Macaca mulatta: one gene and its partner. The protein of the gene in region 1 interacts with the protein of each later gene in a pairwise test. Links are inferred from orthologs where the notes say so. Each region holds a gene or a part of one and is shown in the gene's direction. Other genes may lie near its edges.

Evidence for each region.
Region 2: the proteins of DYNC1I2 (region 1) and DYNLT3 interact in binary tests that used the Homo sapiens proteins (3 or more experiments, as listed by UniProt). The two-hybrid records come from large-scale screens. The link is inferred for Macaca mulatta from reciprocal best matches to the Homo sapiens genes DYNC1I2 and DYNLT3.

What each region holds. Positions count from the first base shown.
Region 1 is NC_133417.1:76,580,593-76,589,504, forward strand, and holds the start of DYNC1I2 (cytoplasmic dynein 1 intermediate chain 2), read left to right. Parts: upstream 1-3,537; 5' UTR 3,538-3,541; intron 3,542-8,912. UniProt on the Homo sapiens protein: Acts as one of several non-catalytic accessory components of the cytoplasmic dynein 1 complex that are thought to be involved in linking dynein to cargos and to adapter proteins that regulate dynein function.
Region 2 is NC_133426.1:37,662,317-37,671,007, reverse strand, and holds the start of DYNLT3 (dynein light chain Tctex-type 3), read left to right. Parts: upstream 1-4,032; 5' UTR 4,033-4,103; coding exon 4,104-4,133; intron 4,134-5,283; coding exon 5,284-5,325; intron 5,326-8,691. UniProt on the Homo sapiens protein: Acts as one of several non-catalytic accessory components of the cytoplasmic dynein 1 complex that are thought to be involved in linking dynein to cargos and to adapter proteins that regulate dynein function.

The sequences.
Region 1 (8,912 bases):
GTCTCTGTTATCTATTTATACACTCTCTGCCTCCATGTATTCAAATATTTTAGCTTCTACGTAAAAGTCAGAACATGTGACACTTGTCTTAAAGAGAATTATTTTAGCATTTTACATTTAATGTTTATATAATTGCTAGGTATCTTTTATAAGGTTAAAAAGTTCCTGTCTGTTCCTGGTTTGCTAAGGATTGTTTAAAATGAAACCTTAATGGATACCAAACCCTTTTTCTACCTTGATCAAAATAGTCACATGCATTTTCTCCTTTATTTTGTTAATATGATGACCATAAAAAGATTTTCTGATGTTAAACTAACTGCCTTCCTGAAATAAAACTAACCTTATCATGGCTTATTATCTTTTCAATACATTGCTGGATTCACGCTGCCAAATTTTTGTTTATTTGTTTAGATGGGGTCTCACTCTGTTGCCCAGGCTGTAGTGCAGTGGCATCATTATAGCTCACTGCAGCCTCGAACTCTTGGGCTCAAGAGATCCTCCCACCTCGGTCTCCCACTACAGCCTGCACCACTACACCCGGGTTGGGTTGCCTATACTTTATCTGTGATTTGTGCACCTATATTCATGAGAAAAACTGCCCTGTAAATTTTCCTTCTTATACTGCCCTCGTTTGCTTTTGGTATTAAGGCTATGCTAGCTTCATAAAATGAGTTAAGTCATTTTCTTAATCTGTTTATTCTCTAGAAGAGTTTAAGACTGAAAATCTCTTCTCCTTGAATGTTTGTCTGTCTGTGGTTTTCATTCGATTCCCCTCCTCCCCTCTCCTCAGTCTTCCTTTCTCCCATCTCTTCCTCTCCCTGTTGCTCTCTTTGTTCCTTCCTGCTATATTCACTTTCTTTTTCCTTTCCTCTACCACCAGTAAGACCACCTTTGATTTAAAAGCATTACAAAATTGGCCTGAAGCCCAGGCATCAGGATTTTTATTTTAATCAATGTTTTTAACATTCCCAAATATAACATTTTTGTGTGTGTTTGATGTAACCAATTTGTACTGCCTAGCTGTGAAAAAAGAAATCTTGCAGTCGTCTGAAATAATAGTGATTGCTAAATGAGAATTTCAATTATCTGTTCGTAATTACCTATTTTGAAATATTTTTGAAATGAATTCAGTCCCATTCATGACGTGGTACTTCCAGATTTCTCTGCCTTGTGACACTCAACAATGAAGGGAAACAATTCCAGGATGTAAAGAATACATCAAAATTTAATGAGAACAAGAGCCTTTTCACAAATAAGCTATGCTGATTTTCCAGGTTTTTCTATAAACCTTCAATTCTATGCTTTATGTTTCATAGATATCCTCCCTCTCCTTTCAAATAGCACAAATGCGATTTTCTTGATGGAGCATTATTTCTGGATGGTAAAGATTACTTTAATTCTCTGTAAGAAAAACCTGGGATGTTTCCCCCCTTTACTTAGTTGAAATGTAAATATTTTAAAACCTTCCATATCAATATGGAAGTTTTCTCCCAGTGACTTAGTGGCTAAATACCAAATGCTCTTTACAAAATGCAAATCGCTTATTCAAAATACAATTAAATTATAGCATACATAGTTTATAAGTAATTATAGTCATATAATGTATGTAATTTGGATTTCTTTGGGTAAAAATCTATAAATGCTGCTACATTCAAACCAAGAAATAGTTCTTTTTAGAAATACACTATAGCAAAAATACCATTTTCAGGTAAGATGTAAAGTAAGTAGGGTAGGTCTTTCTGAAAGAATACCAATTAAGCCTTCCTCTTCAGGAATTCTGTGGGGGTCCTGTCAGTTAATTCGGTCATTTTACAATGAGAACAGATACCAACCTTGGAGTCTGGATTAATTCTATGGGTATGAATAATGATTGTTAAGATTACTAGTGTCCATTTTTTTTATCACTTCTTTTGAGCAGTACCCCCTCACCAAAAACAAAAACTAAAACAAAAAACCAAAAAACTTAATTGAATTGAAATATCCTAAAAGAAAGATTTCTGAGTTTTCATAGGTCTAACCAGAAATCCCATTAAACTCAATCTTTCGTGGACACTGTGATAAGTCACCTAGATGTCCGTCAGGAAGGACTTTGTGTTAGTTTCCTAGGGCTGTCACAAAAATTACCACAAACTGAATGGCCTGAAACAACATGGGCTTATTTTTTCAAAGCCATGAAGGCCAAAAGTGTGACATCAATGTGTAGGCAGGGCCTTGCTCTCTCTGAAGGCTTTAGAGGAGAATCCTCTATGTTTCTTCTGCTTCTCATGGCTCCAGGCATTTCTTGGCTTGTGGTTGCATAATTCCAGTCTCTGCCTCTGTCTTCACATGGCTTTTTCCTCTGTGTCTCTGGGTTGTCTCCTCTTCTATCTCTTAAAGGGATACTTGTCATTGGATTTAGGGACCCCCCCCAGGTAATCCAGTATGATCTCATCTCGGGGTCCTTATTTACATCTACAAAGATCCTTTTTCCAAATGAGGTCACATTCACAGGTTTTGGGGGTTACGATAGGGACATATATTTTGGGGGGCCACCATTCAATCCATTGCAGACTTATTCCCTGGACTCCTGGGAGAGGTGCCAGAAGGAAGTCTCAGCTGTTAGCCTTCTTTGGGGATTGCCTCAGCTGAAAGAAGCTGCCTTGTCCATGGTCAGGGTTCCTTCTAGGGGGAGCTCATAGCCAACACTGGTCAAAATGGGTACAAAGGCCAGCTTGGAGCTATACTTCAGAACTACTCCAGTTCCAGAGCTCACACTATGGTGAGCTGAGGCCTTCATTAGGTCTGCACCAGGCTCAACTTCTCCTTGGCCTTCGTCCTCCCCTTCCTCCTCTCCCTGGTCCTACTGGTCAGTGTCTTCTGACTCAGCTTCGCAGGGAACCCAGCCTGAAACACTTAGATGAAAATCATTCATTCATTCATTCATTCATTCACTCCTTTATTCATTCACTCATTCATTTTATTTCATTCGATAAACATTTATTGAGTACCTACTGTGTGCCATGTGCTTTCTTTCACAAGTATGGCACAATGATCATATTTGACTCTTTTGTAAATCAGGATCTTCTAGTGCCTCAAACTAACCATCCTGAACCTCATTTGTTAGTTGTAGATCTTAAAGGTTTAAGACAGGAACTCATAATTTATCCTAGAATTATCTTTTGTTTTGAATAAATCCCAGCCTAACATAAGCTTTTTTCTGCAGTGATATGCAATTTTTCCCCCAATAAAGGTACCTACAAAATACATCACTTGAGTGGTCTGATCTATCAGGATTTGTCTAGGTTCTGGATTTTCTGTGTTGTTTAAGGTCTATCTTTTAACCTTATTAAAATGGGTAAGTGGAGAAGAAATGACAGACTTCCAGTGTTAGAAGCACCACAGGATTTCAGAAGGTTAAAGCACTGCCAGAACCAAGGAATTATCCAGCCAGCCCAAATTCCTTGTATGACAAATGAGAAAACTGGGAGTTCATCCCATAGCTGCCTTCACCATGTAGAGTATGGGACTTCTATCTGGTTGTTGTATATATGGGGCTGGGGGGTGTCTTTCCATTTCATTTGTAAACTCCTTCTGGGCAAGATCTGAATCTCATATTTTTCTGCCCTGCTCAGTGTGTAGAAAAATAAGAAGTAAGATTTTGAATAAATAATTGGTTGATTGAGCCCTCTTCATCTAGCAAAACTGCTCCAATCATGTAGGTAGTCAAGGGTCTTAATTTTTTATATGCAGACCTCCAGAGGAAATAATGTCCCTCATCACTTGAATCCTAGGCTTAACAATAATCACTGTCAAGGAGTTCCTCCTAAAAAATAACCCAGCTTTACAGAATAGCCCCAAAATGTCATAAATATGCACATAATTTGTACTAGCCCTTTTCTTTGTAAGTAGTTCACAGATAATAAACCAGATTGGAAATAAAATCAGTACTTTTTAAAATTTGAAATGTTTAAATAGCTACTTAACCATTATTTTTACTCCACCTCATTCCATAAAGGATTCAAGGTCACTTACAATAAGACACACATTTCGATATTTTAAAAAATAAACATGATGTGAGAAAACTGAAATAGAAAATAAGATAAAGTACAGCATAATGTTAATATCCAAAGTTCATAAATTGCTAGTGGGAGGCCTGAAATCTGGCTCTGAGCATTCCAATTAATTGATAATAACTACTTTTATAGAAGGCAATAGAGTGGTCCAAGTTCCTAGTCATCAAAGTCTACTTCAGAGTCTACTTCATCCGAGATAATAAATCTAAGTCAATCACAGTAATCCTACCTCTTGTTAGTAAGTGTTTTAAGAATCTACATATGACTGAATTCTGATTAAACAGACACAGGAGAAAGTCTGTGGGGGAGGAGAGATTTCCAGGAAGTCTCCTCATTCTTAAATGAAAGACAAGAAAGGTTTGGTTCCTTTCTTTCACTGGATGGTGTTGTGGTTGGATATCATGCTTGGAACTGACAAGTGTCTTGCTATCAGCCTGAGAATGAAGCCAAGACACAGAGCAGGGAAAAGCCAATAGAATCCCTGCCAAGAGAAACTGATGCCCTGACAAGGTGCCCTGGAGCCACATGACCTCCGCATCTCTGGTTTTGTGAGTTATGACATTTTCTTTAAGACAATGTGAGTTGAGATTTTCTGTTACTTGCAGCCAAATGCATCCAAAATGATATAAAAGTAGCATTTAAGAACAAGGGTTTGAAATAGACCTGCTTCTGCCATCTAACTTGTACTATGTAAACTTGAGAAATAATTGAAGTCTTTAAACATGAGTCCTTTTGTCCATAAATCGAGGTAGATAATGGCTACTATACAGGGTGGATATAAACATGTAATGGAGAAAAAAGCATGTAAAGCGTTTAGAGAAACTAATGCATAGTAAGTGCTTGATAAAGAGATGATTTTAACACTGAGGAGAAATACAGATAATCAATACACAATTGTCTGGCTCTTTGAAGTGACGATGGAGCTTTCTGAGGCTGTAATTCAGGCTCTTAACCTGTCTTTAGTGACCATGGAAGACAACTGACCACTTCTTGCTGTAAAATAAGCCATTACACTGGGTGCGGTGGCTCACGCCTGTAATTCCAGCAATTTGGGAGGCCGAGGAAGGTTGATCACCTGAGATCAGGAGTTCGAGACCGGCCTGGCCAATATGGTGAAACCCTGTCTCTACTAAAAATACAAAAATTAGCCGGGCATGGTGGTAAGCACCTGTAGTCCCAGCTACTCGGGAGGCTGAGGCAGGAGAATTGCTTGCATCCAGGAGGCGGAGGTTGCAGTGAGCCAAGATTGCACTATTGCACTCTAGCCTGGGTGACAAAACAAGACTCCATCTCAAAAAAAAAAAAAAAGAATAATATACTGTATTTAATTCTACTTAGAATAATATACTGTGTAACATTTCTGGCACTATAGAACAATTTATTCCTTTTGTATTTGTAATTTTTTAAAAATCATGCAAATCAAAAATACAGAAGCAAAACGAAAATAAAAATAAGATATAAACCACCCCTCAGAGATAACCACTCAGTATTTTGGTGACTACTTTTCCTGAACACACACACACACACACACGTATATTCATATATATAGGATCATTATCTATAAACACTTATGTTAACTGGGGTTTTTTTTTTTAACATAACATTGCAAGTACATTTCCATATCAACAAACACATTTCTGCAATTATATTTTTGCAACATCATTTATAATCTCTACATAGTACTCTATTATATAGAATCTGTATGTTCTATATTATAAGTAATATGCACAACCAAATCATTAGTGTGGGATCCTGAGGCTTTTCTAAGTTTTTGTTGTTATAATTAAAAGCACAATGATAATTGTAGCCAAATTCCTTTTAAACCTTCTTATTAAACTCTTAAATTCCTTAGTGTAATTTCTGAAACATGGACTTGCTGGTTAAAAGTATTTGTACAAAAGGCATATAGCGTGGTATAATGGACACTGGAGACTCAGAAGGAAGGTCCATGGGAGGTGGGTGAAGGATAAAAAAACTACATATTAGATACAATGTACACTAAAATCTCAGCCTTCACCATTATACAATTCATTCATGTAACCAAAAATCACTTGTAACCCCAAAGCTACTGAAATAAATATATATATATAATTTAAAAAATAAATACTTAAAAAACAAAGTATTTGTACAATGTTCTTTTAAACATATATTGCAAATTTCAAAATGTACATTTAAATATTTTTATAAATAATGTTTCTACTTACAGAAAATTATATTGGCCTTTTAAATAATTACACCAAAATTTTCAGTTTATTTCTCTATACCTAACAGCATCATAACAAGGTTATTACATTATGATGGTGATGAACTTACTATTCTGAAATTGTAGGTTTTATTTTTACTCAAAGTTAAAATTCTTCCATTATTTACTAGCTTCACGCTTTCTTGAATTTCTTCCACACTTGGAATACCAATAATTGGGGTTTATAGCCCAATCTTTTGGTCTCTTAATGTAGGTAAATCTCTTTTGTAGTTCTATTCATCTTTTGATTAACTTGATCATATTGCATAGAACAGTAAGCTGCCACTATTTAAGTGAATTCAATGAAGGCAATGCTAGGCCTTTTTGATTTGCAAATTTACTTGAAAAGCCATGTCCATATAGCAGTTAAATGCTCAGTCTTTTGATATTAGCACAGCATGAAAAGCAACAGTTTTTATATTTTGGTGGCATACATTTACTTTAAAAACACACATACATATATATAGGCATTTCCTACCATGATATGCTTTATTGCTTATAGACATGAAATAAAAAATTTAGCTACCAAGCCAAATATTTGAAAATGTGTTTTGTTATTGCTTCTTATCTGTATAAAAGACCGTAGTTGCTTCCTTTTCTGCTATCTCAACCTTAGCAAACAAGAGTACAATTTAGCACTTTTCCTTGATGATTAACTGTCTAAAGGCCAAGAAAATGTCGATGGTTAGGCAAGGGAGAGAGTATTTCTACTTTGTATTTTAGCCTATATTCACAGCATAAACTACTTCATTCACACGAAACTGAGAAAAAGCTAGAAAAATATTACCATTTTAGGGACAACTGTTATGACATGCATGAGTCTCCCTAAGTAAATCTAATGTAAATAAAGAAGATGCATTAAAAGATAATACACTAATTCAATCTACTTGATGCACTGTGAACATGAGATTTGGCAGTTCATTTTTATGGGGAAATCTGATATTTAGAAATATAATAGATTGCACACTGGTATTATGACTCTAATCATCTGAATGAAACAATGAGCTAATTATCTATAATGACTCACTGTTATACTTTCAACACCTTTAGGGATCAATTTCACCCAAAAGTGAACCAAGCCAGTACCACATGGTCTGCTCTCAAGCAGTGACCTCTCTGATTCAAATGCAAAATGCTATTGCAGATGAAATTCACTGGTACAAAATGTTCAATAGAAAGATTACATTTCCAGTGGGGCAGAAAGATATTTGCCAGCATCTCATTAAGGCCTCGATACAAAGTCTTGGATTTCAATCAGCATTGAGATAGAATGACAATAATCCAGTAGCAAGAATGTAGCTAGGGCTTTGTTTCTGTAAGCATTATGCATTTTTCCCATCTAAAATAAAATCTTGAAAAAAATTCCAAGAGAATAGATATGGAAAGAAATAACCTTGTAGTTATTTTAGTGTCAGCCACAGAACGCGTTCTGTGAAGCCTCTGCGGCCTGATAACTTTGCCTCTCACTCAGGGAGGAGAAGGTGACATCATTTACATTTAGGCCAACACGTGAAAAAGGCTGAAATTCTCTGCACTGTAAATGTGGCATCAATTCTTCCACCTCTGCAGCCCCACCTCCCATCATTAATATAGTCCAGCCATTTTATCACCAGCATTTTCTTTTTCCCCTAGAAGTAATTTACTGACTTAATGGAAATGTGAGAGATTTGCTTTAACAGATTTTACGAATTTAAGCAAAAGGTCCTGCCGAAGATTTCTCTGTGGAGAGAGGTTATTCTTTGGCCAAGAGACATTTGTAATAGTTCAGTAATCAAAAAAGATTTGCCTTGGACTTGCTAATTTGCTCAATCTCTTAAGTAACAAAAGGGTCTAAACTCTGCCTCTCAATTTAAAGTGAGCCCCATAAAAGCGTCCAGCTTAGCAAGAAATCTAAGAATCCACAATGTGAGCTTTTAACCCCATTTCAATTTGTGCAAGTGTAATATCATTAGGGACCGATTTCTACTACAAGGTAGTTGTGGCTTTTCAGGGAATTTAGTTCTTTATCTAAGAGGTGGCGAGGTAGTGGAACACACGAAAGAGGACAAAGTACTGCAGAAATAAAGTTTGTTTTTCCTGAAGGATCAGAATCCGGGAACATTGCAAGAGAAAGCCTCATTCCTATGAAACTTTTGGTTAAATACTGCCAAGTAAGAATTGGCAAAATCTGGATTGGACTTTGATTAGGGGGTGAAAAATTCAACTGTACTCTTCTTAATTTTCATGGTTGAATCTGAAAAGGATACAAGTAGGCAGAACTGTGTCACTGTCTCCACAGCTGTGTCCCCAGTATCTAGAACAGTGCCAGGCACTAGGATACTCAATAAATATTGTCTGAATGAATAAACTGCAATAGAACAGAGTCGTCCTCATTGTTTAGTCATGGAAAGAACAGTTGCTTTGCCTTGGGTTGTATCAGTAGCCAGCCATTCTTTGACTGACTTTTTGGGGCTGGTTGCTGCGGCTCCTTCTGCATCCAGACACCTTTTTCTGGAATCAGCTAATCCAATTGTGCAACTTCATGGGAAAATGTATAATGAGTAATGGGGCCTCTTAACTGGGAAAACAAATAGAAGAAAAATAACCTGTGAATTTATCATCTTGCCCCAAACCTTGGT
Region 2 (8,691 bases), on another chromosome or scaffold:
GTGGTATCTTTGTTCCTAGCGATACCAGAACTAATGCAGCCATGTATGACCATAAGGCTAAATGTTGCTGATATGCTGAGGATATCGGCATGGAAAGATGAAAAGCACAGAAGCCCCCAAAATTTGTTGAGCAACTAAATGAACCTGGAATATCTCTGCCTCTGTGTATGTATTAGTCTGTTCTCTCATTGCTTTACAGCAATGAGAAATACTTGAGACTGGATAATATATAAAGAAAAGAAGTTTAATTGGCTTGTGGTTCTGCAAGCTGCACAGGAAGCAGAGTGACTCCTGCTTCTGGGGAGGCCTCAGGAAACTTACAATCACGGTGGAAGGTGAAGGGGAAGCAGGCACATATAACATGGCTGGAGCAGGAAGAAGAGAGAGAGGGGGGAGGTGCTACACACTTTTAAGCAGCCAGATCTCATAATAACTCACTCACGGACACAGATCCAAACCATATCAGTCTGGTTATATAAGAAAATAAATGTCATTATTTCAGCTCATCCTATTTGGGTTTTCTGTTACTTGCAACCACAGGATGTTAGTTAATAAACCCACTTGTAGTTTTAAAGCATGACCCCCAAATTATTTGACACTTCTCCCATTGAGAAGTGGATTCTGTGTCCCCTCCCCTTGAATCTGAGTGAATGTTTCAATGATTAGAGTATGGTAGAAGGGCCACTGTGTAACTTGTGACACTAGGTGATAAAAGGTGACATATCTTCTGCCATGCTCGATGGAACACTCATGCTTGGAGCTTTGAGTTGCCATGTAAGATATCTGGCCACCCTAAGACTGCCATGATGGTAAGAAGCCAATCCACTCATTGGGGCCATGTGTTGTTGCTCCAGTTGGCAGTGCTAATATTTGATTCATCCAAGCCCAGATATCAGACATGTGAATGAACAAGTCTTCAGATGATTCTGGTCCCCACTATTGAATTTCCTCCAGTCTTTGAGTCTCCCCACCTGAGGCCCCAGACATCGCAGAGCAGAGGCAAATTATTTCTGCTGTGCCTTGTTCAAATTTCTGATCAAAAGAATCCATGAGCATAATACAGTAAATAAACTGCTAAATTCTGGGGTAATTTATTACACAGGAATGATAACTGGAACAACACTTCTTCATCTCACTTTATATGCATCATGAATGATCACATAACACAAACTTGAGATGTGCTGGTGCAGCCCTTGCAGTATTAAGATTAGATAACTTAAGGATTTAACCCACCCAGGCATAGAAACAGTTCTTTAGGGAAATAAAACTGATGATGTTCACAAAGACACTACGAATCCTTCTCATGAATAGACTGCTGGAGTTGCTCATAGGATGAAAACTTTGGTAAAAAGAAATTCTTTTTCTTTTCTTTTTTTTTTTTTTTTTGAGACGGAGTCTCGCTCTGTCGCCCAGGCTGGAGTGCAGTGGCCGGATCTCAGCTCACTGCAAGCTCCGCCTCCCGGGTTTATGCCATTCTCCTGCCTCAGCCTCCCGAGTAAAGAGGATGCGCTTCCTCTATGATTACAGTCACTTTTCTGCAGTAACCCTGCATGATCCACAACTTAGGAGAACCAATAACAAACACCATATTGTCAAGTAAACAGCCCTGTTTGGTTCTAAGTTCATAAAATAAGAGCCTGAGATTCAGAAGCCCGGGAGTCCAGGTAACACCCATGTGTCCTATAGAAGTTACTTTACCTTTTCACCTTCAGTTTTATTTGTAAAATAAGGGAGTTGGACTAGAAGACTAATGGTTTCCAACTTTCATTCTGGGGAGCAAAATAGAAGTGTTGTGGTTGGCTGAATAATGCTCCCCCTCAAAGTTGTCCACATCTGAATTCTGAGCATCTGTGAATATGATACAGAGTGCAAAAGACACATGGCATATGTGATTAAATTAAGGGTCTTGAGAGGGAAACAGGAGGGCAAGAGTTATACATCTCTCCTTTGTAGAGATGCCTCACATCTCCTTTGAAGCAGAGGCAAGACAGGAGAAAAGATACTGCTGGCTTTGAATTTGGAGGAAGGGGTCATGAGCCAAGGAATGCAGGCAGTCTCTAGAAGCTGGAAAAGGCAAAGAAACAGAGTCTGTCCTGGAGCCTCCAGAAGGCATGCAGCTCTATGGGCCCATTTTAGACTTCTGACCTCCAGAACTGAGGCAGCAGAATAGGGTCAGGAGGCAGGGAACTTAAAACTGTTTCAGGCTGACTTCCTAGAACTAAATTGAAAGGAAAACCCTGGCCGGGCGCAGTGACTCATGCCTGTAATCTCAGAACTTTAGGAGGCTGAGGCAGGCAGATCACCTGAGGTTGATGAAGTCGGGAGTTCGAGACCAACCTGACCAACATGGAGAAACCCCGTCTCTACTAAAAATACAAAATTAGCTGGGCGTGGTGGTGCATGCCTGTAATCTCAGCTACTCAGAAGGCTGAGGCAGGAGAATTGCTTGAAACCGGGAGGCGGAGGTTGCGGTGGGTGAGCCGAGATTACGTCATTGCACTCCAACCTGGGCAACAAGAGAGAAACTCTGTCCCCCAAAAAATAAAAATAAAAATAAAAGGAAAACCCTAAACTTCCATGCCTAAGTAACAAAAGGACCAGAGGCTATTCCCTTTGCAAACCCCCACCTTTTCTGCGGGGCCGATGGGAAATTTAAACTACCTCTGATTGGTTGCTTTTTGCAACCAATTAGACATTTGCAAATTGTTTTTTGCAACCAATCAGACACTTGCATAGGAGTGTAACTTTGTAACTTCAGCCTCTGATTGGTTGCTGTCTGCAACCAATCAAACTGATTATGGGCCAAGTCTTTGAATAGAAGTGCAACTTTGTAATTTCATTTTAGCCTCTGATGGTTGCTTTCTTGCAACCAATCAGATGTTTGCATAAGAGTGTGGCCTTTGTAACTTCACTTCAGCCTCTGATTGTGGGCTACTACTTCATTTACATGGGGTGCACACCAAGTGGCCAATGGGAAACCTCTAGGGGGTATTTGAACCACAGAAGATTCTGGATCCCGGCCCTTGAGCAGCTTCTCTGCCCACTCCCACCCTGTAGAGTGTACTTTCGTTTTCAATACATCTCTGCTTTTGTTGCTTCATTCTTTCCTTGCTTTGTTTGTGCGTTTTGTCCGATTCTTTGTCCAAAGCGCCAAGAACCTGGACACCCTCCACTGGTAACAGAACTGTAAGAGAACAGGTCTGTGCTGCCTTAAGGCACCACATTTCTGGTAATTTGTTACAGTAGCAATAGGAAAGTAATACCGTGGTTAAGAGCTTGGGCTCTGCTATCAGACTACTTGAGCTCAAGTCCCTTTTCTACACCCTACTGGATGTATGACCTTGGGCAAATTAAATTCTCTATACCTCAGGTTCATCTTGATAAAAGCAGTGATGGAAGAATTAACTCTTCTGACTTATTGTGAGGTTTTGAGGAAGTGTCTAGGATCCTCTGGAAATTAGTAACTTATTTTAAAATTACTAATTTAAAATTACTACATTTATTTTAAAATGTAGCCATTGTGCTCTTGCTGAGAAGCATCTACTTTAGGAGCCGTGTATACAGCATCTCATCTGATCCTTACAACCAGTAGTGAAATAGGTATGATGGTAAGTTTCCATATGAGAAAACTGAGGTTGTGGGAGGTGAATTTTTCCAAGTAACATAGCTAGTAAGTGGACAAATCAAAGTGACTGATTTACCACGAAATTAACTACATTTATGTGCCAGATGATGGTGAATGAACAAATACATGCAAGTAACCACAGCAGTGGGCACTCAACCAATAGTGTGGAGTCTAGACTAACTGCCACAGGTCACCCCATCTGATCCACACTGGCGCCATTCCCAGTTCTTTAACATTCATCCCTTGTTTCCAGAAAGGGCAGAGGAAGCAAGGAAGAAGTGCGTGGCCTGAAGTGACGCCTGGCGTTGCCCGGAGCCCGCCCAGCGCTGCCAGGTGACGCCACTGCGACACAAAGGCGGGGAATGCGTAGGGAAAGGCCCTAGGCCATAAACGGGGGTGGGGCCTCCCCGGAGGCCAGTGCGCGGCCGCGGTGCTCCACCGGCGCGTCGCTCCGCCCCCAGGGAGAGCCGGCGCTACCATGGAGGAGTACCATCGCCACTGCGACGAGGTACCGCCCCTTGGCTACCTGGAAGCGCCCCCCACTCCTGCCTTCCTCTGCGCGGGGCTCTTGCCGAGTGGTCTCCCAGCGAGGGCGGCCCCAAGAGTTGGGGTGCGGCGTCCTCCGAGCCCGGGTCCTCTCCGCAGGGCCAGGGATCCGCCCCGCCCTACCCGTTCTCCCCACCCCGAAGTCCTGAGATTCGGGGTGGCAGGGGTGGCCAGGAGCGCGCGGATCAGACGGTGGGGTCGGGGCAGGGTTGGGAGGACGAGGCCTGACTTGGGTGCGAGGAGTGGGCATGGGATGACGGGCGCCGCCCTCCTACCGGGCGGGCCTCGAAAACGGGTCTTCCCGCTGCTTCCTCCGTCCCTTGGCTTCCTCAGTGCAGGTGCTGCAGCCCCCATGGCTCGGGGTCTCGGGGTCCTGGTGGCACTGCCACTCCTGCTCCCGGTGATGCTTGCCTGGGTGGGCTGGAAGGAGGTGCTTTATGGATTACGAGCCCTTGCTTACTGACTCAGGCTTTCCCCACCCTCACCAGAACCCCATAATGTCAGTTGTCATCTTCCTGTTATTGATGGGGACTCCAAAGAAAAGACTTAAGTTGTCAGACCACTGTATAGTACTAAAGTGATATTAATCTTGAGTTATCAAGTATTTTCATAGTCTTTAATTTGGGAAAGGAATTTTTGCCTATAAATTTTTGCCTAGCATAAGTTAAAAACAAAATTGAAAATAGTCTATTAAGCATTCTCTTCTTATGAACCACTTTATTCTCTCACTTAGCTGAAACCATATCTATATTCTTATAACACATAACATCTTCATAGCCACCTCTTGCTTATTTCCTACGTGTTACAATACAATGATTCTTAATCTAGGATGTTCATTAGAATCACCAGTATAAAGCACTTTGAAAATATATATATAGACTTGCAGGCTCTCCCCAGACCTCATGAGTCAATCTCCAGGGAGGTAGGTAGGGAAAGCATTCAGTATTTTTAAGTGTTTAGGGGCAAGATTGGCCCCTTCTGTAGACCCGATGCCCTTTATCACTGTGGTCTCCTGTCACTAACACCTGTCTAGGCCAGCCTAGGATATTCTGTGTAGCGTCATATCTGCAAGCCTGTGTTGAAAGCAGCTTTACCTTTTGTTTCCCCTTTAGGTTGGCTTCAATGCTGAGGAAGCCCACAATATTGTCAAAGAGGTGAGTCATACATTTTTCTTCTCTTGAAGCTTGCTGCATTGGTGGAGACTTTTAAAAGCTATATTTTGAGTTTCAGTACAAACTTAGAAACCTTACTGTTAAAAGAACAAGATTTTGCTTTATTTTATTTTATTTTATTTTATTGTTTTTTGAGACAGAGTCTTGCTCTATCGCCCATGCTGGAGAACAGTGGCACGATCTCGGCTCACTGCAACCTCCACCTCCCGGGTTCAAGCAATTCTCCTGTCTCAGCCTCCCAAGTAGCTGGGACTACAGGCGTCCACCACCACACCCGGCCAGTTTTTGTATTTTTAGCAGAGATGGGGTTTCACCATATTGGTCAGGCTGGGTTCGAATTCCTGACCTCAGGTGATTCACCTGCCTTGGCCTCCCAAAGTGCTGAGATTACAGGCGTGAACCACCACACCAGGCCAAGAACAAGATTTTAAATATTTATCCACTAATTCTTTATAGGGGTCCTTCTGTGTTTTGTTGTGTGCTATCAGCATCTTGGGGCTTATTCTGAAAGAGATGCTTAAGGATTTTCTTAGTCTAGAAAACTGGTTTAAAATTGATGCCCTGTCTTTTGGATAAAATAACTTTTATTCCAGAAGGCAAACATTATTTTAAATGTTAATGCTATAAAAGTGTATGTATGTGTATATATATGTGCACACATGTCAACTTTTATAATGTAAAGTATATGTATAATATATATGTATATTATGTAAAATAGATAACAAAAGCCCTAGAAATATCTGCCTTTGGGCATGTACACTTTTTTGCCCAATATAATTGGAGAAATGATCACTTAACATCTTTTAAATATTGATATGGTAGTAAATCAAAATTTTAAGAAAAATATTTGAAACTCCTTTTAGGCAAATAGAAAAGAAATTGTCTTTGGGAGTTAATTCTGCAGGGGAACTTTCATTATTTTAGAGGTATCACATACAGACTACAGTATGGGAAAGGTATTTTTTTAACACCCAGGTCTGGCCTTACACAGCGAGAATTAACTCAAGGTCTGAGAGCACTAGACAGGCACCTGAAAATCCTGCCATATTTTAATACTTCAGAATTATGCATTCTATCTATGTAGCCTGGGAGTATTTAATTATTAAAAGTAGAAAGCAAAGGTTTTTAATACCTTTACAATGTAAAAGCACAAATGAGGGAAACTGGGAGGTGGAAGAGGGAGTGGAGGTAATGAGAAGGGAGTGATCTTAGTTTTCAAAGTGGAAAGTCAGGAAAGACTGTCCTTGGTTGATGGAACATAGAAGAAAGAATGCTGCGTTATTTGGGATTCCATTTAAATAGTGCCTTCTTCCTTAAGTTCTGAACCAAATGAAAAGAAAAAGGAGCCAATAGGAAGAGAACAAAATACTACCTTTATTACTGATAAAAACTAGTTTGGTGATTGTAGCTTGTTTTGCTAACTCCCATTCAGTTCAGCCCTGGGAAGAGTCATCCAAGAGAAAGTTTGAGTCAGCAGAGAGAAACACTTGTTCAGGCTGGTGCCTTTCATTTGTTTGGGTAGAGAGGGAAGGAGAAACGAAAGCCCAAGTTCAACACATTTGGGAGACTGGCTCTCCCAAATGAGATGTTAGAACAATGGTTATCACCCACCAACCAGGTAACTCGTTCCACCTCCATGGGGAGGAATAACTGACAGGACAGGAGGCCAGGAATGTTAAAGAACAATCCTCTGTGTGGAAGAAAACATCTAGAGTGGAAAAGAAACATGTTTCTAACCATGTAAATAGACCTAAGTTAAAAAATTGTGATTTCACTATATTGAGAGAAGGGGGCAGGTGGTCTGAGGGAACCAGATTCTCATCTATCATAGTAGGAGTTATATGGATGTGGCCTATAATTCATGAATCAGGAAATAGTGACATAAACATTATTTGGAGATACGTAAGTAACCCTTAGAAGAAATAAAAACAGTTGTACACTGATGAGTTTCCTCTGGGGAATGGGACTGGGGATGGGAAAGGAAAGGGTGGGAAGGAGACTCCTCTTTTCGTTCTAAGCTTTTCTGTTCCACTGGATTTTTCAAACCATATGTCTGTTACTTTAATATTATGTCAAATTAAAAGAGTCATGCTTTTTCAACTGGGAAATGCGTACTCGGCAGTGGCTAGGTGGTGCTAGAAGTCACTGGATGCATTTTGGAACATCAGTTTTTCTTGAATATTTGTGAGAGGGAATTAAGTAATATAAGTAATTTAACTGAAAACATTTTTAAATAAAAACAAACTCTGATGTAGTCAAAAGCAAGCTTCTCTTGAATTTTTATATGAAATATGAGACTACAAAGAAACTCAGCCTTGCTACAGGTTACTTGCAGCTAAATGTCTATCTTTCCTCTTCCCATGAACCAACCCTCTTTTGCCATTGAAACATTTCCATTGAGGCATTGGAAATGCCTGAGAATGAGCAACATTTTAAAACAGTTCAGCACTTCCTAGATGATTACATAATTTCAGCAGTTATTTCTGATTTCCTTACTGATCTTATTGTCTTATTAATCTTACTTTCTTTCCTTTAATTTCTTGCTCTGAGCCCCTATGCTGATATGTTTTTCCTTCTGAACTCAGAGACACCCATTTATCAGTAATATGCATACATTTTCTTTATTGTTAGTAATAGAAATTGCTTCCCAATAAAATCGTCAAAGAAAAAATGAGCTACAAATGAAATTAACTTAGAACTTAGTGTAAAGTGTATTTAAGATACCCAGCGAGTATATCAAAATCAATATTGCTTCAACAACATTTGTTGAATACCTGCTAAGTGCTAAGTCTAGCGCTGAGAATACAGAGCTGTTTAAGGACCTCATTGTCTCATGGGCCTCCGTGTTAATGTAATTAATTAGGCTAAATGTTAATTAATAGTAATTAGCAGGGCTATTTACAGTGGCACCCACACCCCATGGTGTTTTCTGCTGTTTAGAGCAAAATTTGGAGTGGTCCTACTAAATAACCTGAAAGAAAAATGACTGCTCTTACTTTATCCTTAAGGAAAGGTGATCTCAAGAGAGGAATAGGTTTATCCAAAGGTCACCAGCTTAGGAATGGTAAAGCCAGAATTAAAATTCTATTCCCCTGATCCTTAAGCCACTACCCTTCCTACTTTCTCATGTTATTGAGCTTTCTAGGAGAAAAATTTAAGCCACATTACTTTTGTCAACCCTGCTAAAATATTTAATTTCTCTTTTTATATTTTATCATTAGTGAAGATTTTATACTATCCAACTTAAGATTTTGTATTAGTGCCTTTATAAATATTTACTGTGGTCTAATCATAGTAAATGAAGCTGCATGTGTGTGTATGTGTGTATTATTAAGCTAGATTCTAAAA